4 linked regions of the Caenorhabditis elegans genome follow. The protein of the gene in region 3 interacts with the protein of the main gene of each other region in a pairwise test. Each region holds a gene or a part of one and is shown on either strand. Other genes may lie near its edges.

Evidence for each region.
Region 1: the proteins of lin-40 (region 3) and lin-53 interact in a two-hybrid assay, tested with the Caenorhabditis elegans proteins (4 studies listed by BioGRID).
Region 2: the proteins of lin-40 (region 3) and lin-36 interact in a two-hybrid assay, tested with the Caenorhabditis elegans proteins (3 studies listed by BioGRID).
Region 4: the proteins of lin-40 (region 3) and lin-15A interact in a two-hybrid assay, tested with the Caenorhabditis elegans proteins (one study listed by BioGRID).

What each region holds. Positions count from the first base shown.
Region 1 is NC_003279.8:9,615,377-9,621,677, reverse strand, and holds lin-53 (putative histone-binding protein lin-53), read left to right. Parts: upstream 1-1,917; 5' UTR 1,918-1,920; coding exon 1,921-2,076; intron 2,077-2,130; coding exon 2,131-2,714; intron 2,715-2,761; coding exon 2,762-3,275; 3' UTR 3,276-3,467; downstream 3,468-6,301. Other genes in the region: nra-2 (Nicalin), read right to left, coding at 1-179, 220-352, 395-938, 997-1,123, 1,171-1,322, 1,368-1,445; putative histone-binding protein rba-1, read left to right, coding at 3,577-3,720, 3,768-4,208, 4,251-4,402, 4,463-4,717, 4,776-4,962, 5,013-5,072; K07A1.10 (Large ribosomal subunit protein mL64), read left to right, coding at 5,361-5,443, 5,496-5,750, 6,098-6,301. UniProt on the Caenorhabditis elegans protein: Core histone-binding subunit that may target chromatin assembly factors, chromatin remodeling factors and histone deacetylases to their histone substrates in a manner that is regulated by nucleosomal DNA.
Region 2 is NC_003281.10:8,013,814-8,022,589, forward strand, and holds lin-36 (Protein lin-36), read right to left. Parts: upstream 7,061-8,776; 5' UTR 7,058-7,060; coding exon 6,959-7,057; intron 6,903-6,958; coding exon 6,804-6,902; intron 6,729-6,803; coding exon 6,145-6,728; intron 6,044-6,144; coding exon 5,923-6,043; intron 5,848-5,922; coding exon 5,309-5,847; intron 5,208-5,308; coding exon 4,799-5,207; intron 4,676-4,798; coding exon 4,271-4,675; intron 4,205-4,270; coding exon 3,747-4,204; intron 3,699-3,746; coding exon 3,632-3,698; intron 3,417-3,631; coding exon 3,309-3,416; 3' UTR 2,835-3,308; downstream 1-2,834. Other genes in the region: F44B9.5 (Lipid droplet-regulating VLDL assembly factor AUP1 homolog), read right to left, coding at 76-174, 595-783, 833-988, 1,033-1,219, 1,561-1,830, 2,386-2,533, 2,601-2,724; F44B9.2 (uncharacterized protein), read left to right, coding at 8,650-8,776. UniProt on the Caenorhabditis elegans protein: Required to negatively regulate vulval development. Antagonizes Ras-mediated vulval induction. Acts cell autonomously.
Region 3 is NC_003283.11:3,701,797-3,708,867, forward strand, and holds the start of lin-40 (DIOX_N domain-containing protein), read left to right. Parts: upstream 1-3,198; 5' UTR 3,199-3,215; coding exon 3,216-3,344; intron 3,345-3,411; coding exon 3,412-3,520; intron 3,521-3,581; coding exon 3,582-5,599; intron 5,600-6,234; coding exon 6,235-6,391; intron 6,392-7,071.
Region 4 is NC_003284.9:15,728,621-15,736,535, reverse strand, and holds lin-15A (Protein lin-15A), read right to left. Parts: upstream 4,569-7,915; 5' UTR 4,562-4,568; coding exon 4,283-4,561; intron 3,816-4,282; coding exon 3,726-3,815; intron 3,675-3,725; coding exon 3,237-3,674; intron 2,732-3,236; coding exon 2,627-2,731; intron 2,580-2,626; coding exon 2,412-2,579; intron 2,354-2,411; coding exon 1,274-2,353; 3' UTR 1,171-1,273; downstream 1-1,170. Other genes in the region: Protein lin-15B, read right to left, coding at 4,925-4,990, 5,040-6,113, 6,167-6,581, 6,629-7,915. UniProt on the Caenorhabditis elegans protein: Synthetic multivulva (synMuv) class A protein. SynMuv proteins are required to repress the induction of vulval development.

The sequences.
Region 1 (6,301 bases), on a different chromosome or scaffold from region 3:
ATGGGAGATCAAGAATTGAATTACGAGCTGGATCAGATGGAGATGGAAGAGTAGACAGGGTGATAGCTGGCATTCTCTTGATGTTAAATTTCTCGTGTTCCCAAGCGCTTACTGTCGTCAAAGAGATTTTTTTCGTTACCAACTCTATATTCTTCTTTGGAGAAATGCTGCTGAAATATCTTACGAACGATTAAAATCAATAAACTTTTAAAACAGTACTTAAGTCTTCTGAGAAGTTGAGCTGCTACTGAATTTTCTGATGGTGTCTTTCCAGCATGCATGAAAAATCCTCCCGTTTTGCGACCAATTGCCTCAATACATATTGCCAAGTCAACACGATCATCTGAAAACCCTTCAAAACCGGTAAAACGACACTCTCCTTTTACTGCATTACCTTTTCTAGAAAGTCCAGATTTGGCATAATCAGCGCTGTCAAAGCCTTTCTGGTACTCATCGATCCAGTGACGAGTTCCTTGATAATTGAGCTTTCCAGCTGCTGTCCAAATGAACAAAATATTGTATGGAGGACGTGTGCTTGGAGAATCATAGAATTTTGACAGAACAGCAAGCAATTCGAGAAGTGCAACTATACCAGACCCATTGGAATCAGCGCCAGGCGAGACTCCTGGAACGGCCGATTGTGTGTCATAGTGTGCCACAAATGCAATCGTAGGTGCAGCACGATCTCCACTACTCAAGCGACCAACAATATTCAGTGGTTTGTATGAAGGTGGAAGTTCTGGACTTTGATCGGAAGAAGTGATACTGATTGTGTTTCCGGAAAGTGATTGAAGCAAATGTTGCAGGGCTGTGGGAGCTTTTTCCGAGCGAGTATTGACATCGTGAAGAATAGAAACGGCGTCATCATTGAAAGGAGCCACATAAACAGCCAAGTCGGTCTTTGCGCTCAACAACTTTGCTTCAAGATCGATGAATGCCTGAATAATGAGCATAAATAACTTTTATGGCAATATGAAATTAAATGTTCAAGCTAACCTTCCGATCAATATCGTTAAGTTCATCAAGATTGTCGGGAATGAAAATAAGCACGGCACCGGTAGAAAGTGCCCACATGTCATCGACATCTGTTGTAAGAAGATCTCGCCATGTTGTAACCATAGTTCTAGATATTAAAATATTACTATTTACAAATGAAATATCCAAAAAAACCTGCGAAGAGTTCTTGCACCCAAGGAAACAGCTTCATATGATACGCGATAATTTTTGCATCCATAAATGTTACCACTGATTTCGTATTGATGAAGACGGTACGCATGAAACTCGGTTTCTACGACTTCTCCAACTTGCTGGGACCCGTTCACCTAAATATGGAGAGTTCATCTTCTAAATCATTACCAACAACTTACTACACAAATGGTTAACATTAAAGTCATGTAGAAAAGAAGAGCCGGACTTCGGAAAAAATCGATGATTTCATCCTGCATCTGAAAAAAACATATCTTAAGCTCAAAATCACGAGAATCCTGTGCAAATTAGGATGAAAGATCTTTCGGAGTAGGAATTATTTAATAACACAAACTATCATGATTCTACAGAAATCGATAGAATTAAACCAGAATTGATGATATATAATACCCGAGTAGGGAGAAAACTGCATGAGTTTTCTGAGCGGAATTCAAATGAGCCAAACATGCTCTACCGTACCTTGCAACAGCGGTGAAGGCAAATCGTTGCGAGACCCCTCCCCGCGAAAACCGCGACGCGCACACACTTTGAAAGTGGGTTTTATCGGTCTTCTACAGTTTTGGTCACTTTCCCGCATTAAAATTCTCTGTTTTAATATATTTAAATTCAATTGAATTAATATTTTATTATTCACCCCTTCTTTGTTGTATTATTTTATCTAACTACACTGTTTGAACGATAATTATTCTTTGCAAAAATTGAAAATTTCAGGAAATGGCCACTCTTGAAGATGGAACCTCCGAAGATCGCGTCGCAAATGATGAATACAAAATTTGGAAAAAGAACACCCCGTTCTTGTACGATCTCGTAATGACACATGCGCTTGAGTGGCCTTCACTCAGTGTTCAATGGCTCCCAGACGTTGCGAAGGTATGTGTTCTCATATAATTCACAACTTTCATGAAGTGAATTCAAATAATTTAGGATAACAGCGACCATACTATTCATCGGCTCATTCTTGGAACTCATACTTCAGATGAGCAGAATCACTTGCTTATTTCTAAGATCTGTATGCCAACGGATGATGCCCAATTTGATGCATCTCGCTACGATACCGAGCGCAGTGAATACGGTGGTTTCGGAGCTGTTAACGGAAAAGTGGAACCCGATATTCGCATTAACCACGAAGGGGAGGTTAACAGAGCTCGTTACATGCCTCAAAAGTCGAATATCATTGCTACAAAGTCTCCACATGCTGATGTTTACATTTTCGACTATTTAAAGCACTCTGCTGTTCCTCGTGATAACACGTTCAATCCGCTTATCAGACTGAAAGGACACACGAAGGAAGGCTATGGATTATCATGGAATCCAAACAAAGAAGGTTTGATTCTATCAGCGTCAGATGATCAGACAGTTTGTCATTGGGATATCAACGCAAATCAGAATGTTGCCGGGGAATTGCAAGCGAAGGATGTTTTCAAAGGTCACGAGTCAGTCGTTGAAGATGTTGCTTGGCACGTTTTGCATGATGGTGTCTTCGGATCGGTTGGTGACGATAAGAAATTGTAAGCTTTTGTTTTTTTTCTATTTATTAACTAATTAAAAATTATAGGCTCATTTGGGATGTGCGCACAAGCACTCCTGGACACTGTATCGATGCTCATTCTGCCGAAGTTAACTGTCTCGCATTCAATCCATATTCCGAATTCATTCTGGCCACCGGATCAGCTGATAAAACTGTCGCTCTTTGGGATCTACGTAATCTACGAATGAAACTTCACTCATTTGAATCACATCGTGATGAAATCTTCCAAGTTCAGTGGAGTCCACACAACGAGACTATTCTTGCATCCAGCGGTACTGATAAACGTCTTCATGTGTGGGACCTATCTAAGATTGGAGAAGACCAATCTGCCGAAGACGCGGAAGATGGTCCACCAGAGCTGTTGTTTATTCACGGTGGGCACACCGCCAAGATCAGCGATTTCTCGTGGAACCCGAACGAGCCTTGGGTTGTGTGCAGTGTGTCAGAAGACAATATTCTCCAAGTGTGGCAAATGGCTGATAACATATACAACGAAGTTGACGAAGAAACTCCAGCCGATGTGGTAGAGAGACAACAGTAAAATACGTGAAACGCGCTTAAATTATTTGTATTTAACTTCTATCCTTCTTTAATTTTGCATCTCAACAAATTGTTCATCTTACCATTTATTCAAACGCATATTCTTCACCAACTAAGTTTTTAAAGTTAAAATGTTACCTTGAGATATGATCATATTTTGTTGAACCTGAAATAAATTCGATGACCATTGTCAGATAACTGTTTTGAAATATTATGTTAACGTGATTGTTGTGATAGCTCAGATTGTGATATTTTTGGTTTTTTGTTGTATCTTTTGTTATTTCAGGCAATTTCAGAGCACAATGAGTGAAGCTGAATCGTGTGAAGAAACGAGTAAAGAACATAGAATTTGGAAGAAAAATGTTCCATATCTCTACGATACAGTCGTCACAAAAGAGGTCGAGTGGCCTTCTTTATCAGTGCAATGGATGCCTGATGTCACAAAAGTAAGAATCGGTAAATATGATTTCGCCTTCTTCATTATTTTTTTAAGACAGAGAACTCGGATTCATCGATGCATCGAATGATTCATGGAACACATACTTGTGGAGGAGTTCAGAATCATCTCATGATCTCAAAGTTCACAATAACGACAGACACACCAGAATTCGACGACGCTAAATGGGATTCGGAACGTGAAGAGTTCGGAGGTTATGGAGAGGGCAGCGCTGCAAAATGGGATACTGAGATTAAAATCAACCATCCAGGAGAAGTTCATAGGGCACGTTACATGCCACATAATCCTTTCATTATTGCAAGTCGAGGTCCTTCTGATGACGTTTATATTTTCGACTACACGAAGCACCCATCTGAACCAAAAGACACCAAATTTCGACCTCAATTGCGATTGAAAGGCCATGAAGGCGAAGGATATGGAATGTCGTGGAGCAACACCAGAGAGGGACATTTGCTAACTGCCGGCGATGACGGAATGGTATTTCTAACAAAAGATATACATAAATATACATTTTTTAAGATTTGCCACTGGGATATAAACGCGAATCAGACCATTTCCGGTCAAATAGTGCCACAAAGCAAGTTTAAAGGTCATTCATCAAATGCGGAGGATGTTTCTTTTCACGCGCTCCATAATTTCGTTTTTGGATCTGTTGGAGATGATAGAAAACTGTAAGTATAAATACATCATACCATTCTGTCGAGATTTCAAAATAATTTTCACGTCTTTAGAAACCTATGGGATCTGCGTCAATCAAAGCCACAGCTCACAGCCGTCGGACATACTGCAGAAGTTAATTGTATTACTTTCAATCCGTTTTCCGAATACATTTTAGCAACCGGATCTGTTGATAAAACGGTTGCTTTGTGGGATATGAGGAATATGCGCAAAAAAATGTACACGCTGAAACATCACAACGACGAAATATTTCAAGTATCGTTCAGCCCGCATTATGAAACTGTTCTGGCTAGTAGTGGATCGGATGAGTAAGTTTTTTCCTAATAAGTTGTATTTGTTTAACCTATGAAATTTCAAAAATTTCAGTCGGGTTATCGTTTGGGATATTTCTAAAATTCAAGACCCATCGTCTTCATCAGCTGCATCATCTGATTCTGTTCCACCAGAAGTTATTTTTATTCACGCTGGGCATACTGGAAAAGTTGCAGATTTCTCTTGGAATCCCAACCGCCCATGGACTATTTGCAGCAGCGACGAATTTAATGCATTACAGGCAAGAATTATTTTCAAAAAATTAATCATAACTATTTAATGGTTTTTCAGGTGTGGGAAGTTTCAAACAGTTTAGTTTCGTCGGAAAAATGGGAGACCGAAATGATTTAATCGTCTAAATTGCACTTTGTCGAATTTTACTAATTTTCTCACTTCTGATCTTTGAATGTAAAAATCACATTCCTATCAATGAACGTTTTTTCATTTTCTTTCATATTGTGTTCATCTATTCAGAATTAATTTCTCAGGTTTTCTCTGCCACTAAATATTTACTTTGAAAAATAGTGTGTTCACAATGGGGCGCACTTGCGAAACCATGTTTAGTCGGTTTACATTGCTTATTTTCTTACGATAAGGAATATATTGATTAAACATATTTCAAGGTTATCCAGAAAGAAAATGTTGAGAAATTGGAGACTTTTGGTAAGAAGTTTTGCAACAAATTCAAGTGAGGAAATCGCTCCGAAGGTTGATGTTAGTTTGTGAGTTTTCATTTTTTGCATGTTCAAAAAACAAAAAAAAACATTTTTTTAGTCTACGTCCCCGTCATCGAATCATTGCTGCTGGTGGGATGCCACCGGTTCAATTTGATTCTGAGCGTGAACGAGCATCTCGTCGTGAAAGATTCGGAAAATATGGTCTAAAAAGTGGTGTACCAGTTGAAGAGCTGTTCCCAACAGCTGAAGAAATTGAGGAAGAAGAAGCCATTGGATTGTTCAGAGAATTTAATAATGCTAAGAAAGAATACAAAGAACTACAGAAAAAGAAGAGGGAATCAGAGTTAGCGAGGTATACTTTAATTGTAATTTCAAAATTAGCAACATTTTAAAACATAACTTTAAAAAATTTAGAATCGTTCGATAATTTTGCTTCAATTTTGCGAAAATAGGGCAAAAATTAATTGTTTTTGAATTTCGTGCAAGTGGCTGACATGCACGAAATCGGCTTTCCTTGATTTTTTTCTTCAATATTTTATTTGAAACACCGTTTGTCAAATTTTCGGACAATTATATGTTTAAAAAATTAAAAATAGAATTATCGATTTTTAAGACATTTTTGAAATTTTAGTCTTTGCGAATTCTTTACACAAAAATGCCTGAAAAATTTACAAATATGTCATCTGAATCCATTTTCAGAATTGCTGAACTCGAGAAAAATCTCAAAAAGTATCCTGCAACACTTGCAAAATATGAAGCTTCATTGGTTAAACAAGAACAAGAGAAAGACGAAAAGGAAGTAGCACTTGAAAAACGAATTCGTGACATTCAAGAATACTTTGGATATTGGATGGATCCAAAAGATCCAAGATTCGAAGTGATGCTACAGCAAAAAGAAGCAGA
Region 2 (8,776 bases), on a different chromosome or scaffold from region 3:
CAAAGGAAATGACAAGGCATGATGACTAAAAGGTTTTAAAATCCAAAGAAAAATCGAATAATCTAATTTGAAAATTTAAGAATCGCGGTTCATGTATTTTTGGCGATTAACTTCGATCATCTGCCATTTTCGATTGTCGAATACTCCACGCCACGTACCAGCGTCCAATGTAACCTGAAAATTGTTATTTAGATATTCTTCATATTTAATGTCAAAACTACGATACCTGGGTTCGACACAACAGTTTTTGCTAAATACAAAACGGATGTGCGCCTTTAGAGAGTACTGTAGTTTCAACCTTTTGGTAGCTGAGGTATTTTCATCGATTTGTCATATTTACTCTCACGATTTATTAAAATTTATGTTTTTTATTGTTTTAATTTAGTTTTTCCAATAAATGAATGTATTTGTGTCGAACAACTGAAAATCGATGAAAATTCTGTCAGCTACGAAAGTTTTAAATTACAGTTCTCTTTAAAGACACACGGCGGTTTGTATTTTACAAAAAATTGTCGTGTTGAGACCGGGTACAGTAGTCTTAGGCTTAAAAATCTCAGTATTTCTGGGCAATTCATCGAATTTGTAGTTCCTAACCTTTCCAGTTTGACCATCCGATGCTGATGATGAAATTTTACCAGCTTTCAAATTATTAACAGTTGTAGTTTGACTACGAGTTTTCTCCAAATCACGTCGAATTGCAGATAAATGGAATGATGGAAATGATTGTTTGATTCTCATTGCACATTCGTCCATTTGACGAGGATCCGCAAGTCTAGGTGAAGTCTTGAAAATTTTCATTTTTTAAAGAAAACAAATTATTGGAAACAAATACCTTCTCTCTAACGACAACTTTTTTCGCACGTTCTCTATCTGTTCTAAGCCGTTTTGCTGCTTCTGTTGCGTCCGAAATTCCAAACTTTGACACTGCAATCTTCAAATTTCCAGCCAACGTTTCGGCAACTCGGGCGGTGAATTCTTCGAGTGATTCCTAGAAATAATTGTTTTTATTTGGAAATTCCAATTTTTCTTTACATTCTCTCGTCTTTCCATTTTCGGAAGATATTCGACAGTGATAACAGTAAACGGAAGTGCAAAGAAATAGAAAAGATCAGTCCACCATGAAGAACCCAATACTGAAACTGAAACTTTCCAAGGATACGGACGCCACACACGCACTGAGACGGGTTGAACTACTGAAGACACCTCGAAACACCAAGTACTGAAAATTTAGTAGATTTGGGTTCGAGATTCATGATTTTTGCGCCAAAACTACGGTACCCGGTCTTGACATGACAATTCTTTATCCGACAAAAAGTGTGCGCCTTTAAAGAGTACTGTAATTTAAAATCCTAATTTATGCTGAATTTTCATCGATTTTGCATAGTTTTTCATTAAAAATGTGAATTTTATATTTTATGAAAAAAACTATGAAAAATTGATGAAAATGCGTAAAAAGATTTTTAGATTTTTTTTCACAAATTTGTAGTGACAAACCATATTTTTAGCTGAAAAATCTTGAAATCGAAATCACAAAATATTTGGAAAGTTCAAATGACATACTTAAACTTGATCAATGCCTTTTCTCCACTAGTAATAATTCCTTCTGGAAATGCGAGAAGTGGCATTTGTTCTCTGGTGAGTAGTTGTTTGGCTCTACTGACAAGTTGATCTCTTCCACGTGTTGCTCCCAAATCTACATATCCAAAACACCATCTAATAATCGATGGAATATCCCAAACAGATGGAAGAAGGCATGGAGTAAGAATATCAACTGCTAAATGATCAAGAATTGATACATGATTGGCGCACAAAACTCGAGCTGATTCATCTCTGAAAATCTTTTTTTTTTAATACTAAGAAGTTGTGAATATCTCGGCAAGCAAAAAACATTTTAAGGAATAGTTAGTGACCTTTTTTTTTTAATTTTTTTTAGATACACTAAAAATTACCGAATTTCATTTTGCAAAAAAAGTACAGCACCCGGGTCTTGAAAAACTTTTTTTTTGTAAAATATAAATGGATATATGGAACTTTTGTTGCTGCGGAATTTTTGAAATCAATTTTTCAAAGTTTTTTCGTTAAAATAAATTTTTAAAACTAAAATAACACTTAAAACACATTGATTTTAACAAAAATCGTAAGAAAAACTATGAAAAATCAATGAATCCACAGTAACGAAATTTTAAAGCTACCGTACTCTTTAAAGGCGCACATGTTTTTGTATTTAACAAAAAAATTGTCATTTCGAGACCAGGTACCTCACTTTTGGGACAGAAGTCGCAAAAAAATTTGCGCCTGGGCAATACGGCAAGCTTCCAATTTTTCAGTAACTTGTTTCTATTTTTTTGGAGATATCAAATATTTTTCAAAAAAAAAATCACAAACCTGTGACCAGATTTTTCAACGACAATTCCGAGAATTGAGCACATAATTCGAAGAGTGTGCATTCTCAAAGCAGCAGATTTTCTGAGTAGACATGCAACAATAAATGTGTGGAAACCGAGGAAAACACGAATTAAAAGAATAATTAAACCTGAAATTTTGATTTTTTAAAACTTTTACTTTTTGGAATGTGTCAAAAAATTTGAAAAAAATCTCACCAACTGGAGCATAAATAATCGAAAATATTTTAGCAATCGTATCTTCATTTCGTTTTTGATGGAATAAATCTTCGATACGAAGATCTTCTGTATTTCCAGAAGACGATGCTTCTGGTGATGCCATTCTAAATTTTAGGATTTTTTTAAATTTTTCATGGTTTTTTCAAAATATAATGTTATGGATAATCAGGTAGCCTATAGAAAAAATAATCTGAAAACTCTTTTCAAAAACCTACCAAGCAAAATCATTTATTTATTGACTTTTAGTCATATTTGGCACACAAACGCACATATCTTTCAAACTTGAATGTAATTGAAAACTAGGGAAACGTTTAAATAGACTTTGGCTCATTTTTTGTGAATAATTCAGATTAATTTATGATAGAAAAAGTGTGGTTTTTGGGGAGGGGGCGGGGGCTTATGGAAAGTAAAACAAACTATTAATTTTGGAAAGTAAATTATAGGGGGGAGGGGGGGTAAAAAATGGGAAAAAAGTAAATGTGAAAATCCTAAAAATCTAGACGAAAATCTATCCTAGTCGGAGTTTTTATCAGATTTCAAGAATTTCGAATGAAAGTAAAATGGGATAACTTCTGTGGATATAAAACAGAGATAGTTCACATGAAAGAAATGTGGGGCGATCCTCGAAAGGACAATTGACTTTTGAATCTTGAATTTTGAGGCACTTTCTTTGATAATTAAAAATAATTATTGTTGAGAATCCGATGATCCTTGTCCTGGAAATTGTTCTTGCTGCTGTTGTTGTTGTTGTTGTTGTTGTTGAAGTTCACGCCATTTTGGATCTTTTTTGGTGAGCTGAAAATCATAAGAATGAAACAAACTGATTGATAACGCCAAATAGCGGAGAAAACATGTTTTTAAAATAAATTGTGTTGTGATCAGTGATTTTTGATGTTTCAATCGGAATTTTTTCAAAGCAAATGGTTTCAAATTGAGAACAACATAAATAAAATCTTTTAAAAAACGAAAATTGTTACTAAAATTCAGAATTGAAACTAATAAAAACATACCACTTGTGCTCCATCGTTAGAGTAGAAAATTTGATAATCTTCAGTCCTTTCGCCAAACAGACGAGCTCTGCAAAAAATTAAACGATTTATCAAAGTAGACCTCCCATGGGCTCACCTGGCTCTCGCAGCTTCAATTTGCCGGATGCAATGACGGGAAAGTCTCATGTCAGCGCGCATTTTCGTCACGGTGCGACATTTGATAGCGTCTTCCATTGCTCTGTAGTAATGAGCATCTTTCATCATTTCTTTTGAGATTTCTTCCATATCTTGATCTTTAACTGTTCCACTTGAACCATCCATCTCAAGAGCCTCTGCCAGCGTAAGCATCGGTTGCCTCTCGGAAGATGTTGAAGAAGTGGCAACATCTTCAGACGATGAGTTTCCCATAGAATCAATGACTTCTTCGACCATTTCAACTTCCATATCCGTTGCTGGAATCAGATACTCATCAGAAACAACCACCGGAGAAGATGCTGAGAAGTTTGGCGATGACTCGTGATGGGAGAGTGTTGGTCGTGGAGTTGATGTTTTTTTTCGTGGTGAAAGGATCAGTGGTCTTCGGGAGAGCACACTCTGAAGCAATAAATTAGAAAAAATATCAAAGTCTCCTAATAAATAATTCTAATATATTAAACTTACCGGTCTCTTAGCAGGCCCTTTTTCTTGTGCAACAGCTCCCATAACTCTTTGAGAAAAGATCCCGCCAGGAGAGGATGAAGTTGGTGGTCTTGATATGACTCCAGAAGATAATGAACGTCCTCCACCAAGTGATGCAGTAGCTGTGAACGATTCTAATGGAATCTGATATTTAGCCATCGAAGGACGAACTCCAGCAACAAAAGATCTCGCGAGCATTGATTTTAGAGGGCGTTCTTCCGGCTCTTTTTCTACTGGTGCCGGTTTTGCGACAGGAGTTGCTGGTTTTTCAACTTTTTGAACAGCACTCTCCTTAGTTTTCGATCGTGTATTTCTGGCGATAAATTTTTGACTTGTTGTCGGTTCTGGTGTCTGCTCCGAAGATGTCACTTTGTCTTCTGGCTCCGTCTGAATAAAAAACATTATCCTAGTAATTCGAATTTCAACATGCTACAAAGTAAAAGAGGAATTTCAAAAGTTACAAATTAAGTTCTAATCTATTATTTAATAAATTCAGTAAATAAAACTCACCGAAGAAGTAGCAGCGATCCCTTTGGCCAAATTATAAGCCAAGGCCTTTCTCGGCTTCTTCGTTGCTGCTTCTTGTTTCTTGAATTGTTTGGCATTGATCAATCGCTTAACTTGCTGAGATCTTTTCTGAACCATTTTGGCAAATTGTTCATCTCGTTCCTTCAAACGAAGACGTTCACGTGGATCATTTGGTGAAACTGTTGGTTCTCTCTCTACACTTTCAGGAGTTGGATCGTGTTCTTCTTCGTGTGAAATTTTCCGTTTCTTAGCTGGAGTTGATGGAGCTGTAGCAGGAACTTCGTGTTTTGCCACCTTCTTGATTGGTGAATTTGTAGCGGAAGTTGCGAGACGTGTTGCTTTACGTCGTTCACCAGATCCCATTGGAGCTTGTGGAGACTGATGGGAAGTTCTAAAAAATTTAATTGCTTCTTTGATTTCCATTTAGTAAGATTTTTTAAATTTCGTTACGCAGGATGTTCTCTAACTCGAACATTTTTTGACAAAACTTACAGTTCAGAAACATCGTCTGACTCTTCTTCTGCATGTTTTTTCTGACTGCTCTCTTGCTCCTTCGTTCCTTGAGCCGATTCTTCTGCTTTTGTATTAATCTCTGCTTCTCTTCTCAATTGCAGAAACACTTGTCGCTGCATTACGTTCAGATCATTCACACTTGTACCACCTTCTTTTCCAACAAACGATAATGTCCTCACTGCCTTCTTTCTCTTCTCTTCATCGTGAACCATTTTCGTACGCTCTTCTGGATTTTGCACGTAGGCTTTTTTCGTTGGTGAAGGTGTGAGTACGATTTCATTTGCTGGTGGTTCACAGCCGTGATATGCCACATAAACGTTGCGACGAGTCCAGTTATCCCAGCTTTCCGCTGGATCCAACTCAGTAGCGCGGCAGTTCATTTTAGCGAATTCATATATTCTACGAAGATGACAATGATGAATGGGGCCAGCATTCAAGTGACGACGATATCCAGATATTGTCTTGTAACCATATGTGCATTTTCTACAGAATGGGCACATGAAGCCAGCTTCTGGGACCTGTGAAAAATATTAATTTTTGTTATAAGAATTATGTGATAAAATAAGAGTATTAACTAAAAAGCTTGAACTTACATCCAAAACATTATCTTTTTTCTTGAGCATTTCCTCCGTGTGATTGAGAAGATGTGTCTGAAGCTCGACAACACTGCACGAGTGGAACTCACATACGGTACAGACCCATGGCACTCTGGAACTTTTATAAAATCGTGAAAGAGGATGTTTTAGCCAAAAATCGAGCTAACATATTCATTCACAAGCTTTTTCGTTTCGAGCAGAACCAGCTTTTCTTCTTACCTTTTTTTACTCGGTGTCGTCTTAACGTCTGGTGAAATAGCAACAGGAACTCCAAAAGCTTCGATGGCAGATTTGTTGAAATTGTGATTCCTGAAGCACTCCTCGGCGAAGTGCTCAGTACAAATTGGACCGGCAGCAATTGAAAACGATACAGGACCCATTTTACTGCGAAGAATATCTTTGTATTTGAATCCAAGCAAATTTGCCCAAATTCTGCGCCTATCCAAGTCTGCTGGGAAGTTTAGATGCATCTCTCCCGATTTCATTACTCGATTACAAACTGTACATGGCTTATGAGTCAAATTGGAGTATGGAGAAAACTTCTTGAAATGATCAACAACATATATTCTCAGTCTCCCATTTGACATCCGGTACACTTCTAAATGCTCTCCATCTGGCGGAGTTCGTGTCATTCGGCTTAAAGTCTCCGGAATAACTTGGCACGGAAAACTGGAGTAGACACTTTCGCCTTTGCCGTGGATAATTTCTTCTCTTGGTTGTGACGACGAAGCTTGTTTAGTTGGAGTGACTTGGCTTTCATCAAGAACTTCACCACTTGATGTGACAGTTGGCATTACGGGAATCTGAAAATAAAATGATGTATTCTATTCCGGCCAATGGGCACATGCATTAATACGAGAATGAAAATGTAAACGTACATCGTGTTCGTCCTCATCTTCTCCTATTACGTCAACATCACCCTCAGTTTCCTGCAATGCGTCTACAGTTGAGGATTCTTCACCAGAATGCTGTGAATCCTAAAAATGCATTGATATTCATAAGCGGCGAGAATGTTTCTCAATTATCACCATACCTGTTCAACTGAGTGCACCGTCACGTGTGAGTCTTCTGGTTCTTCAATATCATTATAATCCCTTTTACTGGGTCTAGTACTCAGCAATTCTTCCGACATTTCCTGCAATCAAATATTTTTGGAAAAGCCTTTCTTTTGCAAATTCTACACATTTTGAGCACAAAAACAGAAAATACAGTGAATTTAATTGTTTAAAACGCTCAAGAGATACAAATAATAACGAAAAACATTGATAATAAGTGAAAAATGAGTCGAAAGTGTAAAAATCGATAATTGTCCGGCCAATTTTTGTACAATTCTGGCTCCCACTCATCTGATGTACGCAAACACCGCCACGCGCGGTTGCGTACTTTTTCTATGACGTCTCTCCGTTTGCTACGCTCTCTCGCCGAACAAGCGACTTGGAACTGGAGGGACGTTGAATTGATGATATCAATATGGAGACAGGTCATTTGTATAAATGATTGACACCAATTTATCCAAAATACCACGGAGATAACACCAGGAGTTTGAGAAGTACATATTCGTTAACAATAAGTGATTTAAAGCAGGGGAATTAATTAATTACAACGGGAACATCATAAGCTTGGAACATTTCGTTGCCAAATTAAATCGAACGGAAGACAGTTTTCTCTAGGTTCAGGTATAGTAGAAGCTTGAGCAAACATATGCGTATAGTAAGTGATGTTTACTCAGGTACTCATATTCTATTAGATACCGTACCCCGAAAACTAGAAATAGGATTTCTAGTTTTCGGGGTACGGTATCTAATAGAATGTCTTCCAGAAACGATTATAACAGACACGTAATCTGGGTGGAATGCTGAAAAATAATTCTGATTTTTATTTAGAAAAATTATTTCAGAAGATGCATCTTCCTCTTAAGATGCTCTCAATTTTTCTTCCGTACACAATTAAAAATCATAATCTGGTGACAGCTCATACAGAAGCGCAATTCTTGCCCTGGCTTGTGAAGTGATTACATTTTTCGAAAATTATAATGTATTATTCGTCTGAATACAATACTTAGCACGAGCAAAAGATTTCAAAGATGACAAGTCATTAGACATCTCTTCATAAAAGCGATTACGGTATAACTTCTTATTGGGAGTCGACTTAAACCCCCAAAGACAAGAAACACATTAAAAAACAAATAGTGAAAAATTCTTAAACTCAATAACAAACAATCAGACTACCGTACTCACACAAATGAAAGTTTTCTGCCATCTGTACTTTTAATATCCGGCCTCTCTAGGGAAGCATTTGTAAAAAAATTGTTTCATGGTTTAATCAAGTTACAATAAATTGTAGCTCGCGTAAATGTTCATGCATGAATCTTAAATTTCCAGGTGTCAATTTTCCAAAAACCTATCTTCACTTCTCAAGTCTAAAATCTCTCGGATCCCTTCCTTCTCCTCCCCCGATTTCACTGATCAAGTCCGTGTGCAACTCTGCGTATCTTCATCTTACACACTATTCAGTGTTTAATGCTCACTCAGGCGGGCTCAAAACAGTGTAAAAATGGCCTCTAAACCCTCTTCCGTCGTTCTGCCAATTTCTCTATTGCCAACAAAACAACCAACATGCCATCCATATCACTACTACTACAAGAGTTTTTTTTGAATAAAACCAATCTCGCATACTTTTTCTACTTTATGAAGCATCAAAACTCAGTACAATTTCTATTTTTAGATGGCTGACGATGAAGATGATATAGTTTGGATTCGTGAAGATACAGCTCAATCATCAGTTCCAACATCTCCAACAACTCCAGCAACTATCATTGAAGCTGCACCTGTATTGAGTGATGCATTTGATA
Region 3 (7,071 bases):
CGTTTTTTTTGTAATTCAGGTGAACGTTTTTGTCAATTTTTGAATACTTTTAAAATTGTATTTTTAAATCAATATTTACCGGAAATTTTGAAAAAAAAAATTGAAAATTAACCAAAAAATCAATCTAAAAATGAGGAAACGTAAAAAAAAATTTTAATTTAAAAAAAAAACAAATATTTTCAGAAAAATCAAAAAACATTAATTTTTTCTTAAAAATATTTTTCGGTATTTTCCGAAAAGTCGATTTTTTTTTGTTGAAATAACGGGAAAAAATCGAAAAAGTTCGATTTTCCGCAAAATTTAAAAAAATTCAGAAAATTAACCATAAAAACTGATTTCAAAAAAAAAGAAAAATGACCTAAAAATTTGTGCAATTGCCCGAAAAATCGAAAATTTTAGGAAAAAATATTTAAAAATATGCTCATTTTTCCAAATTTATCGGCCTTTTTTGCATTCTAAAATTATTAAAATTTCTCTATTTTTCGCCCAAACTGGTTTAAAATTAACCGAATTATTATCCAGACGCAAAATTTTGCGATTTTTGCTCCAAAAAATGGTCTCGACACGACAATTTTTTGTTAAATGTGGTGCGAAAAAGTGCGCGCCTTTAAATTTTTCAAACTTTTGTTTCTGCGGAAATTTATTGATTTTTCATAGGTTTTCTCACGATTTGTTCAAATTCAGAAAAACTAGGAATAATCAATTAAAATTCTGCAAAAACGAAAGTTTGAACTCACAGTACTCTTTAAAGGTGCGCCACTGTTCGCATTTAACGAAAAATTATCGTTTCGAGACCCGTACCGTATTTTTGGGCGCAAAACTGATTTTTCGGTAATAATAATGTTGTTTTTCACTCGTGATTTGGAAGAAGCCACAGTTTTAAGCGTTTCCGTCTTATAAAAAAATCCTATAATTCCGGCAAATTGATATCCGGCAAATAGGCAACTTGCCGGAATTGAAAATTTCCGGCAAATTGACAAATTTATGGAATTGAAAATTTCCGGCAAACAGGCAACTTGCCGGAATTGAAAATTTCCGGCGAACAGGCAAATTTCTGGAATTGAAAATTTCCGGCAAATTGACAAATTTATGGAATTGAAAATTTCCGGCAAACAGGCAACTTGCCGGAATTGAAAATTTCCGGCGAACAGGCAAATTTCTGGAATTGAAAATTTCCGGCAAACTGGCAACTTGCCGGAATTGAAAATTTCCGGCAAATTGACAAATTTATGGAATTGAAAATTTCCGGCAAACAGGCAACTTGCCGGAATTTAAAATTTCCGGCAAACTGGCAACTTGCCGAATTGTTGAGATATTTCTATTCACCCTGGCGGTTTCCCGGCGCAATTGTATTTATTGTCAGGGTGGCCTTTGGGGCATAATTTGAATTGCCATCGTGTTCTGTCGTCTCTTCGATCTGCACACTCTCTCGTTGTCCCACTCTCTGTCACTCTCTCACTCTCTCACTGTGGGGGCCTATAACTCGGCGATGTACTAAATTTGAATGTAGTGTATGCCGCCGCGTTTTTCTGCAATTTATATCGAAAGCGGTCGATATTTTCTCGATCGTCCCGACTTACAAGCCTATTTTGCCCTTTTCAGCCTTGTAGGACTGTTTTGAACTGGATTTTTTCAATTGCATTTCAAAAAAATAGGAAAATCTGAAATTTTGCCGATTTTCTAGCATTTTTAGAATTTTTTGCTACGTTTTCAGTAAGTTTTTATGATTTTTACGTCAAAATTGGCAATTTAGCTGAAATTCATAAATTTCGGCATAAAAATCATAAAAAAACAACGGGAAATTTATCAAAAAATACGAAAAATTCCTGAAAATCGGCAAATTTCCGATTTTGCCGGCAAAATTTTTGATTCCAAGCGGTTTTAAATGGGTTCACTAAATTCTGAGAATGCTGCACAACACATTTGACGAGCAAAATATCTCGTAGCGAAAACTACAGTAATTCTTTAAATGACTACTGTGCGCGCTGGTGTCGATTTACGGGCTTGATTTTCGTAAATCGACACAAGCACTACAGTAGTAATTTAAAGGATTACTGTAGTTTTCTTTTTCGCTACGAGATATTTTGCGCGTCAAATATGTTGTGCAATATGCATTCACTAGAATTTTGTGTTCCCGTAATGGTACCTTTAATAAGTCGGGGGAGCATCCTTCCTGCAGCCTCTTCTCTCTTTTCTTTATATCTCTCGCTCTCTCACTCGTCTCCATTCTGCCCGTCCGTCTGCGTCTCCGTGGTCTCAGTACTATTTCCGACGCTTTAACCATTCTTCCGAGTGACCCCTCCCCACCTATGTCTTCGTCTCTCCCTCTGCTGCTGCTGCTGCTGGACGTTCCTCTTGTTTCTGCGTCTCTCCATGTCTCTCGTTGTCTGAATCTATCCTTTTTTCTAGTTGTCACGGCGATTTATCCGAAAGAGAAGGACCGTTTTCTGGATTTTTTTTGAAATTTAATTTAATTTTTAAAAAACTAATTAATTTCCAATTTTAAAAAATCTATTTTGTTCTTTTTCAAAAAAAATTTTAATAGCGCAAAAAATGCGGATAATTTTTAATTATTTTTTCACTTTTCAGATGATATCGATTTTGTGCACTCAAAAATTATTCGAATTTCTCTATTTTCCGCTTAAAGCTAAAAAATTTCAAAAAATTAATGCTTTTTTTACCGAATTTAGAGTTTTCGCACTGTCTCCTCATTTTTAGTATTTTGGTTATTATCCGGACGCGAAATATTGCGCTTTTTGCTCCAAAAATACGATACCGGGTCTCGACACGACAATTTTTTGTTAAATTCGAACAGGTGTGCGCCTTTAAAGAGTACTATAATTTCAAATTTTCGTTTCCCCGGAATTTCAATCGATTATTCCTAGTTTTTCTGAATTTGAACAAATCGGTGAGAAAGCCTTCGAAAAATCAATAAGAAAAATTCCGCAGAAACGAAAAGTTTGAAATTACAGTACTCTTTAAAGGCGCGCACTTTTTCGCACCACATTTAACAAAAAATTGTCGCTTCGAGACCATTTTTAAAGCAGAAATCGCGAAATTTTGTGCTTTTTGGGCGAAAATGGAGAAATTTAAATAATTTTGATAGCAAAATAAAAACATTTTTTTAATGTAATTTCTCGAATTTTCGACTTTTCGACTAATTCGACTTTTCCCCAAAAAATCCTCCAATTTTTGCAGAGCTTTAACGGGTCACGATGAGCTCATCATCGTTGTCGTCAACATCAACTCGAGTCACGTACGCCGTCGGCGATTTTGTCTATTTCGACGACACGTCGGCCACCGACGCTCCATATCAGATCCGCAAAATCGAGGAGCTTGTCAAGGTTAGATTAGTTGGCTGGAAAAAAAGCCCCAAAAGCCTGAAAAAGCCCAAAATTTCTCAATTTTCAGACAGAAAAGGGCGGCGTGGATGCGCGATGCGTCGTCTACCTCCGACGACGTGACATTCCACAACATTTGCTGAAAATTGCCGATCAAGCGCAGAGGCGATTCGATAATTGTGAGCTTTTCCCCAGCTTACTTTATTTGAAAATATTAAAATTCAATTCAATTTTTTTCAGATTACGAAGTGGATAAGAAGAAGCCCGAGAATTTTACCACAAAAGGATTTATCGTTGTCAATGGAGCTTCTGAAGCTGCTCCAGAAGCTGCTCCAGAAGCCACCGAAGCTTCTGCGGAGACGTCTGAAACAAAAGTGAAGGAAGATACTGATGACGTGGCAGAGAAAATGGAAGAGGACGAAGAATGCCCGGCCCCGGTTGGGCAGGGAAGAACCAGCTCGACTGAGGAGCCATCGGCGTCGGATGCTCCAGCAGCGACCGCAAAGGACAAAAAAGAAGAAAAAGAAGCCAAGGAAAACGCGAAAAACCTCAAGGAGACTGCCGAAGCAGAAGCCACGAAGCTCATTGACTGGGGTGATGGAGGCCTTCCGCTCGGAGTCGACAAGCTCACCCCGGATCAGAGGCTGAAGCTCCGACAGCATGAGATCTTTATGACGAGGCAATCGGAGATCCTTCCAGCAGCGGCGATTCGTGGAAAGTGTCGAGTCGTTCTTCTGGGAGATGGTGAAGAGGCTCAGAACTACCTGCCTCTGGATGATACCTTCTATCATTCCCTTGTCTATGACCCGAATGCGCAGACTTTGCTGGCTGATAAGGGTGCTATTAGGGTTGGCGAGAAGTATCAGGCGGTGGTGGATGAGTGGATGGAGCCCGCCGATCGGGAGGCGAAGGAGGCGAAGGTGCTGGCCGAGAAGGTTAAGAAGGAGGAAGAGGAGGCAAAGTTGAAGGCTGAAGCCGAGGAGGACACTGAGAATGATGGGTTGACGATCGCCGAGGATGAGGAGATGCCGGAGCTGAAGAATGAGGAAAAGGAAGAGACCAAGGTGGAAGAGGAAGCTACCACCACCGATTCCGAAGGTGAAGTAGGTGAAGTCCTCGTCTGGCACCCGCACCACGCTCTCACCGACCGTGACATTGATCAGTACATGATTGTGGCCCGATCAGTCGGCCTATTCGCCCGAGCCATCGATGGAGCTTCCGCGCCGAAGCTTCCGACTCTTCAGCTAGCCGCCGCCTTCGCCTCCCGTGACGTCACCATCTTCCACGCCCACGCGATCCTTCATCAGGCCAACTATGATGTCGGGCAGGCTGTCAAGTACCTGGTCCCAGTGGCCTCTCGAGACACGTACCCGTGCCAGGTCGATGATTCAAGCGGCCTGCAGACTAAGACCCTTGGCGGACCGATTTTGTGTCGGGATCAGCTGGAAGAGTGGTCGACGCCCGAGATGAATCTGTTCGAGGATGCGCTGGATAAGGTGGGCAAGGATTTCAATGAGATCCGCGCCGAGTACCTTCCGTGGAAGTCGATTCGGGACATTGTCGAGTACTATTACCTTATGAAGGCCTCCAATCGATACACAGATCGCAAGAAGAACAAGCCATCGGCGGGTGGTGGAAGCTCGACGACGACGGACGAGAAGTTCACCAACATCTACATTCCGCCGTTCAACAAGCCGATCGCCGCCTCGATTCTTCCGTACAACACTAGCCAGACGACGCTGATGAACAACGACAATCCGTGTGAGAATTGCGGGACGCTGGACGCTCTCAACTGGTATCAGTGGGGAGGTGTCGGCGATAAGAAGGTTCTGTGCTCGACGTGTTGGATTCAGTGGAAGAAGTTCGCCGGGCTCAATCAGAAGCACGAGCTCGAGCGGTTCGACAAGACGCGGCCGCCACCGGTGGAGCCGGTAGCGCCGACGCCAGCGGCCTCAAATGGAACTCCAGCTTCTCAGAAGGCGGCTGCCACGGCGGCGGTGAACACGTTGACTCCACAACAACAGCAGCAGCAGCGCGCTGCCGCCGCCAACATGCTCATGACGCTGAACAGTGGTGATAAGCAGAATTTGTTGAATGTGGCAAAGGAGGCGCTGGCACGTGGCCAAATCACCCAGGAGCAATTTCTACAGCTACAGAAGAATTTCGCTCAGAAAATCCAGGCACAAATTCAACAACAGATTCAGCAGCAGCAACAGCGGCAGGCGCAAACGACGCCGCAAGTGGTCGCAACGCCCAGGGTAAGGATTGGTTGAAAATTGCACGAAAAATCAAAAAAAAAAATTGAAAAACTCAATTTTGGCCAAATTCCCACCAAAATGAGCTACGACCAATAAATGATTCGCTCCGCCCATTTTTCAACCAATCAGCGTCGTCGAATACCGCACATTCCTATGATTGGTTGGAAAATGGGTGGAGCTAATCGCTGATTGGTCGCAGGTCTAATTTCGGAGGAAACTCGGCCAAAATGGTAAAAAGCTCAATTTAGGCTTAATTCTCTTCAAAATGAGAACTGCGACCAATCAGCGATTCGCTCCGCCCAATTTCAAACCAACCAGCGCCGCGCATTCCTCTGATTGGTTGAAAAATGGGCGGAGCTAATCGCTGATTGGTCGCAGGTCTTATTTTGGAGGAAACTCGGCCAAAATGGTAAAAAGCTCAATATAGGCCTAATTCTCTTCAAAATGAGAACTGCGACCAATCAGCGATTCGCTCCGCCCAATTTCAAACCAACCAGCGCCGCACATTCCTCTGATTGGTTGAAAAATGGGCGGAGCTAATCGCTGATTGGTCGTAACTCTCATTATATAGAAAACTGAGCCAAAATCTTTAAAAAACTGCATTTTTTTCGTTTTTAAACCCAAATTTTTTCCAGAAAAAGACGACTCCAGCCACAAAACCGGCCATCGTCTTTTACACGACAATCTGCCGACGAGCGGTTCGCCGGATTTTGCCGAAAAGCGCGTTCAACCTGAGAAAATTGTCCCGTCGGCCGAACCTCGCCATCGATGATGAGAAGATCCTCAGAGCTAGTGAGTTAAACCCCGGAAAATTGAAATTTTTAGCAAAAAAATCGATATTTGGCGTGTTCTGAGCCAATTTTGAGCCATTTTTGCATGGTTTTCACACTAAAATTGAATTTTTTAAAAGGAAAATTTTGAAAATTTCGGTTTTTTACGCCTATCTGCCTAAAAATTGCATTAAAACGAAAAAATTTGCAATTTTTTACCAAAATGTCGATTTTTTTCAGAAATATCGATTTTTACAACCGAAAAAAATCCAGAATATTACCCAGATGTTGCAATTTTCGCACCAAAATTACGGTAGCGGGTCTCGACGCGAAAATAAATTTTTTGTTGAATGCGAAAATCTGTGCGCCTTTAAAGGGTACTGTAATTTCCAATTTTTTTTTTCTGAATTTTATGCGATTTTTAATCAATATTCCTGTTTCTATCGAAAACACCACGAAAATCGATAAAAATTGTGAAAACTACAGTACTCTTTAAAGGCGCAGCACACTTTTTTTTGCATTTCACCAAATTTTTCGTCGTGTCGAGACCCGCCTACCATATAGCATATTTCCTACCATACCTACCTACCATATTTCCTACCATTGCCTACCATATTTTTTTTGCTAAAAAAATTCATTTTTAACATTAAAACCATGCTAAAATGTGGTCCAAATGACAAAATAATGAAATTTTTCGAATTT
Region 4 (7,915 bases), on a different chromosome or scaffold from region 3:
CAAACGATTTTTTTCGGCAAACCGGCAAATTGCCGGAATTGAAAAATTTAGCAAATCAGCAAATTGCCGGAATTGAAAAATGTGGCAAATCGGCAAATTGCCGGAATTGAAAATTTCCGACAAATCGACAAATTGCCGGGATTTAAAATTTTCGGCAGATCGGAAATTGAAGTTTTGCACAACAAATTGCCGGAATTGAAAGTTTCCGGCAAATCGGCAAGTTGCCGGAATTGAAAATTTTCGGCAAATCGGTAAATTGCCGGTATTAAACATTTCCGGCAAATCGACAAATTGCCGGAATCGCGAATTTCCGGCAAATGGACTGAATTAAAAATTTCCGGCAAATCGGTAAATTGCCGGTTTGAACATTTCCGGCAAATCGACAAATTGCCGGAATTGAAAGTTTTCGGCAAAATGGCAAATTGCCGAAATTGAAAAATTTTGGCAAATCGGCAGATTGCCGGAATTAAAAATTTCCGGCAAATCGGCGAATTGTCGGAATTGAAAATTTCCGGCAAATCGACAAATGGCCGGAATTGAAATTTCCGGCAAATCGGCGAAATGCCGGAGTTGAAAAATTCCTGCAAATCGGTAAATTGCCGGTATTGAACATTTCCGGCAAATCGACAAATTGCCGGAATTGAAAGTTTTCGGCAAAATGGCAAATTGCCGAAATTGAAAAGTTTTGGCAAATCGGCAGATTGCCGGAATTAAAAATTTCGGGAAAACCGACAAATCGCAGGAACTGAAATTTCCGGCAATTGGCCGGAATCGAAAATTTCCAGCAAATCGGCAAATCGCCGGGAGTGAAAATTTCCGGCAAATCGGCATCTTTCCAAAATTAAAAACTTCCAGAAAATCGGCAAATTGTCGGAATTGAAAATTTCCGGCAAATCGACAAATGGCCGGAATTAAACATTTCCGGCAAACATAATTTGCTCTTTTTTGGAATTGCGGTATGTTGTTTTATCTTTTGGATACGGGTTTCAATCAATAAACACCATTAAATTTTTTTTCTGAAAAGACGTCAACAAAACCAACACGCACAAAACACTTTTCTAACCTGAAAAATTCCGTGTGACCGAACAAAAATTCATTGCAAAAACTTTTAATTTCAGACTTCCTCCTCACGAAATGCGCTAAACTCGAAATTCTTGAAATAGTTTTGATAACAAGTAACATATTTATAAGATCGATTGTGATGAGAAAAAAACAGTTTAAAAAAAACATGAAATTGAACTAAAAAGATAATAATCAAAGTTATCAAGAACGTTTAAAAAATTGGCTCAGGCTTTGGATCCATGAGCAACTCTTCCGGCTTCTTTTCCATGTGCGTTGGCGGAATATGTTTTGGCTCACTCGGTGCGGCGGCCACTTGTTTCGCAAGGTGAGGATTTCGGTTTCTCACAACTTTAATCATGCGTCTTGGTGAGGCAGATGTTGGCTGATTTAAGAGATCCGTTTTATTCTCTACCGATTTTCTTGTTCGGTAACTCATTGAACCAAATGCAGTCGTTAACATTCTTCCTAGACGGACCGCTGGTTTCTCTACGTTCGTTTTGGTTGGTGGTTTTTTTTCAACGGGGCTCGAAGATTCCACGTGGGTAGGTTTGTTTTGAAGAAGCGTAGGTACTAATTCTTCTTCTTCTTCTTCCTTTTGAGGCGCCCCAAATGATTGACGTATTCCCTCCATCTCGGATGAGCTTGATGAGTCTGTGGACGTAGAAGGCTGGTTTTGTGCACGTGGCGCTGTAGTCAATGCGTCTTTAAGAGTATTAGTGCGAAGAACGACATTCCCTTGAACTACAACTTTCGGAGGTCCGGTTCCGTTTTCAAAACGCAAGTATTTCTTTCCATTGACAACACAGAACTTTAGTGGCGCAGATGGCGGAGTGGGGGAGCTTGGCTTCTCACCAAATGCATTACGAGCATAAGAAACTTTGGATTTGTGCAAAAGCGCCTCGTCGGCAATTGAATGACCTTCCAAAACACGCGTTGCTAGGTGAACATAGTCAATTGGAGTTTTCGTTTTTTTTGCGTTCCATGAGATACTCGATGATCCAGCATCATCCTGTTCAGGCGAATGAAGCTTTCGCTTTCTGCGTTCTACAGTGTTCTGCATCTCACTTTGATTGGGAATATACGGTTCACTAGGTGCATCTTCACTGTGATCTCGATAAGCTTTTGCAGCTGCAGCAGCAAACTTGTTGTCAAGAATATCCTCGATTTTCCGTCTCCGAGATGTGAAACGATTATCTTTCCCATTGATGAGTTGAATGAGTTCTTGCTTATCAGCATCACTGAGGCTAAGATTATGATTCAGCAACTCATTTAGATTCGTCGATGGAGGCACCTTAAACGAATAATTTTTTAAATTTTTTTAAAATTTTCACAAGTGTCACAAGACTCACCGATTGCAAAAGCGCAACCAGCTCTGAGAACGGTTTGGGAGACGGTTTACTGAGAGACCCATTGACCATCCTTGGCACGTGGTTACGGTAATAAGATTTAATGGAATTCTTGAATGAGTAAAGCGGAGTGTTCGACGTAACCTTCCCTTTGTGCAGGTCGCCGACTCTCTTAAAACATTTCACCGTTGTAGAACAACGAGATATGACAATCAAACCTTCAGTGCTCTATAGATATCATGGCCACGCATCAATCTGTCCGGTGGCATCTCATTGATCTCGCTTTCCGTTTTAGCTTCAAAGGCGTCGCACATCATTTCGTACTGAAAAAGTGGTGTATGGTTTTTTTTAAACTAAAATCTCTAAACTAAAAGGGGGCAGGATAGCTCAGTCGGTAGTGGTGGCCGCTAGCAATCTGGAGGTCACAAGTTCAAGTCCAACCTCACCACCTAGGTTTTCATCCAGCCTCTATTGGTAAGTAGAGCAGTCCACGATAGGATTATCGGCCACAGTCCCCGGCTAGGACGTGGCTTAAATTATAACTCAGTGGGAGCACCACCTGAATCCCAGATCCGTAGTGCATAGGACTTGAAGAACGGATCGTCCTTTAATTCTTGTTTTCTAGTCTAATGTATTAATATCGATCACATATATAAAATAAAATAGAGGTTGTACTAAACAAAACACCAAAAATTTTGAACTTTTGCCATGAAAATTATAAATAAAATTAATAACTTTTAAATTAGAATTTATGTTCTAATCAGCTTTAGAAAAGTTTTCACAGCTTTTCAAACTTAACTATTTTGAAAAAAATACTGAACAACTTACTACAAAATCAACATGATCATAGCACATCCTTAGCCTCTCATGACGAATCGCTTTCTCTGCAGTTGCCATTCTAAAGTGGCCAGACATCACTGCCGCCATCAAAACTTTCACAGCTTCGTTATCAGTCATTGCAATGCTTTCTCGCATTAAAAGAGCCTTCTCGCAGAGTATGCACGGAGTCAGATAGGTACAATACGTGTAGTCACTCGGTTGAGATCCCTCTCGTGTGGCACGGGGTTTCGAGGGGCTGGGTTCACTTGGAAAGTGTGAAAAAATTTCCGCGCTACTTTTGAATTGTCCCTTGCTTGCAGCCGCCGTCAGAACATCCTTCACGCTTTGCGTTGGTGTTGAGTTTGGAATTGTATTCGCAAAATGCTTCATGATCGAAGCAGACTCAGCTGATTGTTCTTCAGTTGCTGAAGCTTTTTTCTCTTGGAGCTGAAACCATATACGCATTATTATGAATAATCTTCAAACATTTCTGCTTACCAATCGAACAGATTCCATTGACTGGGTAGGTGTTTGTATTGTCTTGACTTTTGGAATTGTCTTTTTTTCAGCTTGTACATTGGAGTTTGGCTGAAACATTGAAGATAGAACACTTCTTATTCAACCTTATCATGATTCAAAACGACCGAATATCATAATAAAACACTCCAAAAATTTTTAGATCTTTCATAATTTCCAGTCAAAGTTTTGGCATATTGCCAAAACTATGAAAAATATGAGCTTTTGAGGAAATCCACAGCAATGTCGCATGTTCCGACCCCAACAATGTTTTAATACAAGTAGGCAAAACAAAATTGCATTTTAAATGTAGGAGAACATTTTTTTGTCGACTTCCAAAATTATGATTGGCAAACACTGAATGATTGTCACTTTTTGACAGTAAATAAAAAATTTTCAAAAAATGTTTGAAAAGTTTTATTTTGATATTTGGTCCTTTTGGCACTAAAGGAGTAGTTTTTAACAATTTCCCCACTGGCGCTACTCCACCTTTAACTAGATATATCAGAAAATGGGAGAAAATCCTTAAAAAGCCATACCTCTCTTTTGACACCAACAACAACTGCGGCAATTGGGTTGAAATGCCGGACGAGCTCCTGGAAACATGTGAGCTGCAGAGCATCCGTTCCAATGCCGGCACTTTTAACAAACTTCATCGCTAGGGCATTGCATTTCTTGTTGAAAGCCATCCGATCGTTCGCCAAGCTTGACATTCGCATAGCATCAACGTTTTTCATTCGAAATTTTCTTTTCGCAATGATTTCTTCTTTTTCATCTGCCGAGACAACATCTTTAGCTGGAGCCGCTGGAGCCAACATTAGGAATCTGAATAAGTGATAGTGTATGATAAGCAAGATAGGAAAGTAAAGGAAAATTGTCATTTGGTGATGTGAAACCATTTGGAAAGAATTAGAAAAAAACCAGTTGGCATCAAATTTCGGTGAACATTTATAAAACTGATATAAAACTACAAAATATAAAAATGATGAGATCATCTCATCATTGTGAGGTTTCAGATGAATGATGATTAAAATAAATAGGTAAAATAAAAGTGGTAATTTTAAGGGCAATCAAAGTAACAGGGTAAAACTATGCGTATGACTTAATCATCAAAAACATCAATGGAGAAAAAATTATATATAAAAACAACAATCAGGAACGGTGGATGAAAATATTTCCACTTATTCGTTGCTGGGTGGTGTGGGGGTTGGCAGCTTATTAGCATCTTTGCGCGGTCGTCCGACTGGCTGAAAAAATATAAAAATAATTCAAAGCATATATTTTTCAAAAACTCACTCTTCCAGCAATCTTGGGCTTTTTAACAATTGGAGATTCTTCATACTCTTCCTCCTCCTCTTCCTCATCAGCAAAAGCAAAGCTTCGTCTAGCAACAGCTTGTCGAATCAATCTTCCACTTGGTGTTTTTTCAGGCACGTATTCGCAATCTTCGCCGACAATTTCTCCGTCTTCGAGTTGTACGTAACCTTTCTTAAGTGCACGTCGTTGAGATGTTCCCGGATTGTAGTCGTAGTCGGTGAGGCTTTTTTCAGCTTCTGGTGTTACACTATTCTTGGGATACTTCCTTGGGCGCCCTCTTGGGTTCGGAGTATGAGCAGGTGGTGTTACCAAGTTAAGAGGTCCATCCTCGTTTGACAACTCCCGCTTTCTATAGGTACGTTTTATCACTGGAGCATTGTTGTAAACTGCTGCTTGACTGGGCTCGTCGTCTGAAGTCTCTTCCGTTGGGGATCTTGACATTTCTTCATATTCCTCTTCTTCTTCTTCTTCCTGAGTATATTCAACACCGTCGGGGTTTAACATATTCGCCAAATCAATGGCTGAATTCTTATCAGTTCCAGACTTGCGCTCTTTGAGTTTGAGGAAGTTGTTCCCTTGAATGATATACGTGGTCTCAACTTTTTCTGGAGCAGCATCTGGAATCATTCCTTTCAAAAGTCTACCACGACTGCTGAACGCTGCATCTGGGAAATGGCTTCGGCAAATTAGGTTTTCCGTATTGGTGTGAAGTCGGGCTTCAAATTCTGGTCCAAGCTTATCCACCCATCTAGCCAAACGTTCCTCACTTCTCGGGACACGAAGCATTCCACCTCGGTCGCCACGTTTCGAACAGAAGCAGCAAACGCCCGGATTGTCGCATTCCTCATTTTCAGACGGTTTGACAGTTGGGAGCTTGAAATCTTCCTGCTCTATAACCTTGACAGTTCCGTCATGCTGATCAGCTTCCAGAACTTGCTTGCGTGGCTGGCGAAAGAGTTTCGGTATGATTTCTTGCTCATCCACATCGTTTCTCTCTGGCTCAGGTTCGGGCTCGCGGTAGTCAAAGTATTGTTGTCCAAGTTTCTTCAATTCCTAAAAACAATTAATTTGTTTCAAAATGTGCAATTTTAAAAACGGAAACTTACCGCTGGCGTTTCACGAAGATGATTATTTCTTTCGGCAAAATCGTGAAGAATCTTTCGAAGTTGTGAAGCAATAATGTGTGGACGGAGGGCGGAAACAGTGATCAATGCGTTCTGAATCAAGTCCAATGGGCAAATCAGAATATCATCGGCAGATTTCAGACGTAGCATCTGGTAGATCTCGTCGAGGGTCTCCAGGAAATGGAGACGGCAAATGTACGTTTTGCTCTCACGCGCCATGAAAAGCTGTGCCTGTCCTAGAGTAAATTCTCCGCGATAAATACAGCCCAACATAATCAACAGCTTTTCATTTTCAATCGTCACATTCTTCAGACGCTCGTGGATTTCCAAGTGACCACATACTGCACAGCGACGGTTGCAAGCTCTGCGCTTCTGGAATTCCATAGTCACACGATGCCTGAAAATTGGAAATGAAACTGAGGTTCAGAAAAAAATATAGGTTACCTTGCAAACGCATCTTCTGCCGATGCGTCATTGAGATTATCACTGTACATAAGCCGTTGAGCCCCAATTAAATTGTCATAGTCGGGTTCTCCGTTGAAATCGTCCAGTGGTTCCAATTTGAAGTCATCCCTCTGTACTTTTCCATTGATCGAAGAAGGTGCTCCTGACTTTTGTTCGCTGTTTGGAAGCCTCAGCGCAGCTCTCATGGGTACAGTTTGGTTGAGCCTGCCTGTGTGGTCTTGTGAGTTCAGTGCATACTTGTGAACAAAATTTTGCTTTTGAGCAAACTTCTGCACAAAGTTGTGTGAATGAATTTTTTGTGGAACGGTGCCTTCACTTGGCCCACATCGGATCAGTTGCGCAGTGGTAACATGGGATCTAGCTTGTGCAGAAGTTGCAGTTGATGGTGATGAGCTTTGCGACGTGGGTAGTTTTGAGGCCAGTACTACAATTTTCCGTGGATACGAAGATGGTCCTTGTGAAGAAGCAGTCGTTCGGTTTGGCACCGGATCAGTTGAAGGATGATTAAAATCGTCTTCATCCAGTGGTTCATCCTTTATTTTCTCCAGCAGCGCTACGTCTTCAGTTTCTTTCTTGATTTCCTTTTCTGGAATACTGCAAACAACAGCTTGAAGTGTGATAGGTTTCGGAGCTGGTGCTTTGATAAACTGTTGTGGAACAGTTGGCCTTGGCACAATTGGCACATTGGCTGGTCTCGGTGGCAACGGCCTCACTTGCAGCGGAATCTGCCTGATTGGAACAGCCTTGAGTTCTTTCCCATTCAACGGGATTGGTCTTCCTTGAGCCAGTGTTCTCGGTGGAGGTGCTGCACGAGGGCGGATGATTGTTGGAGAGGACGTCGCTGGGCTAGATGTACTTTGCAGGTTAGCCACTGGAGGCTTCTCTTCTTCTTTCGGCACGTGTGGAATGTCATAGTTTGCAACTGTTGGCATCGGAGGGTAGTGATGGCCGACAATGGATTGCACATCTCGATCAGAAGAGATGTTGTCAACTCCGTGTGCATAAAGACCAAGGTGAACCTGCTTCTGAAGACGACTTGCAGTGTTATTTAAAGTCTCAATCATTGATTGAGAAATGACATCCACCGATGCTCCTTTTCCACGAAATGTTTGATAGTTTCCAGCAAGTGCCAAGCAGTTCTCGAGGCGTTGATGAGAGTAGGTGTGGCAGATGTGTTGGAATTTTCCACCGTTCCCAAAGTAGTACCCAGCGTCTATAGAAACTGCAGGACTTGCCAAGTATTCACGAGCAATCACCGCCAAGAAT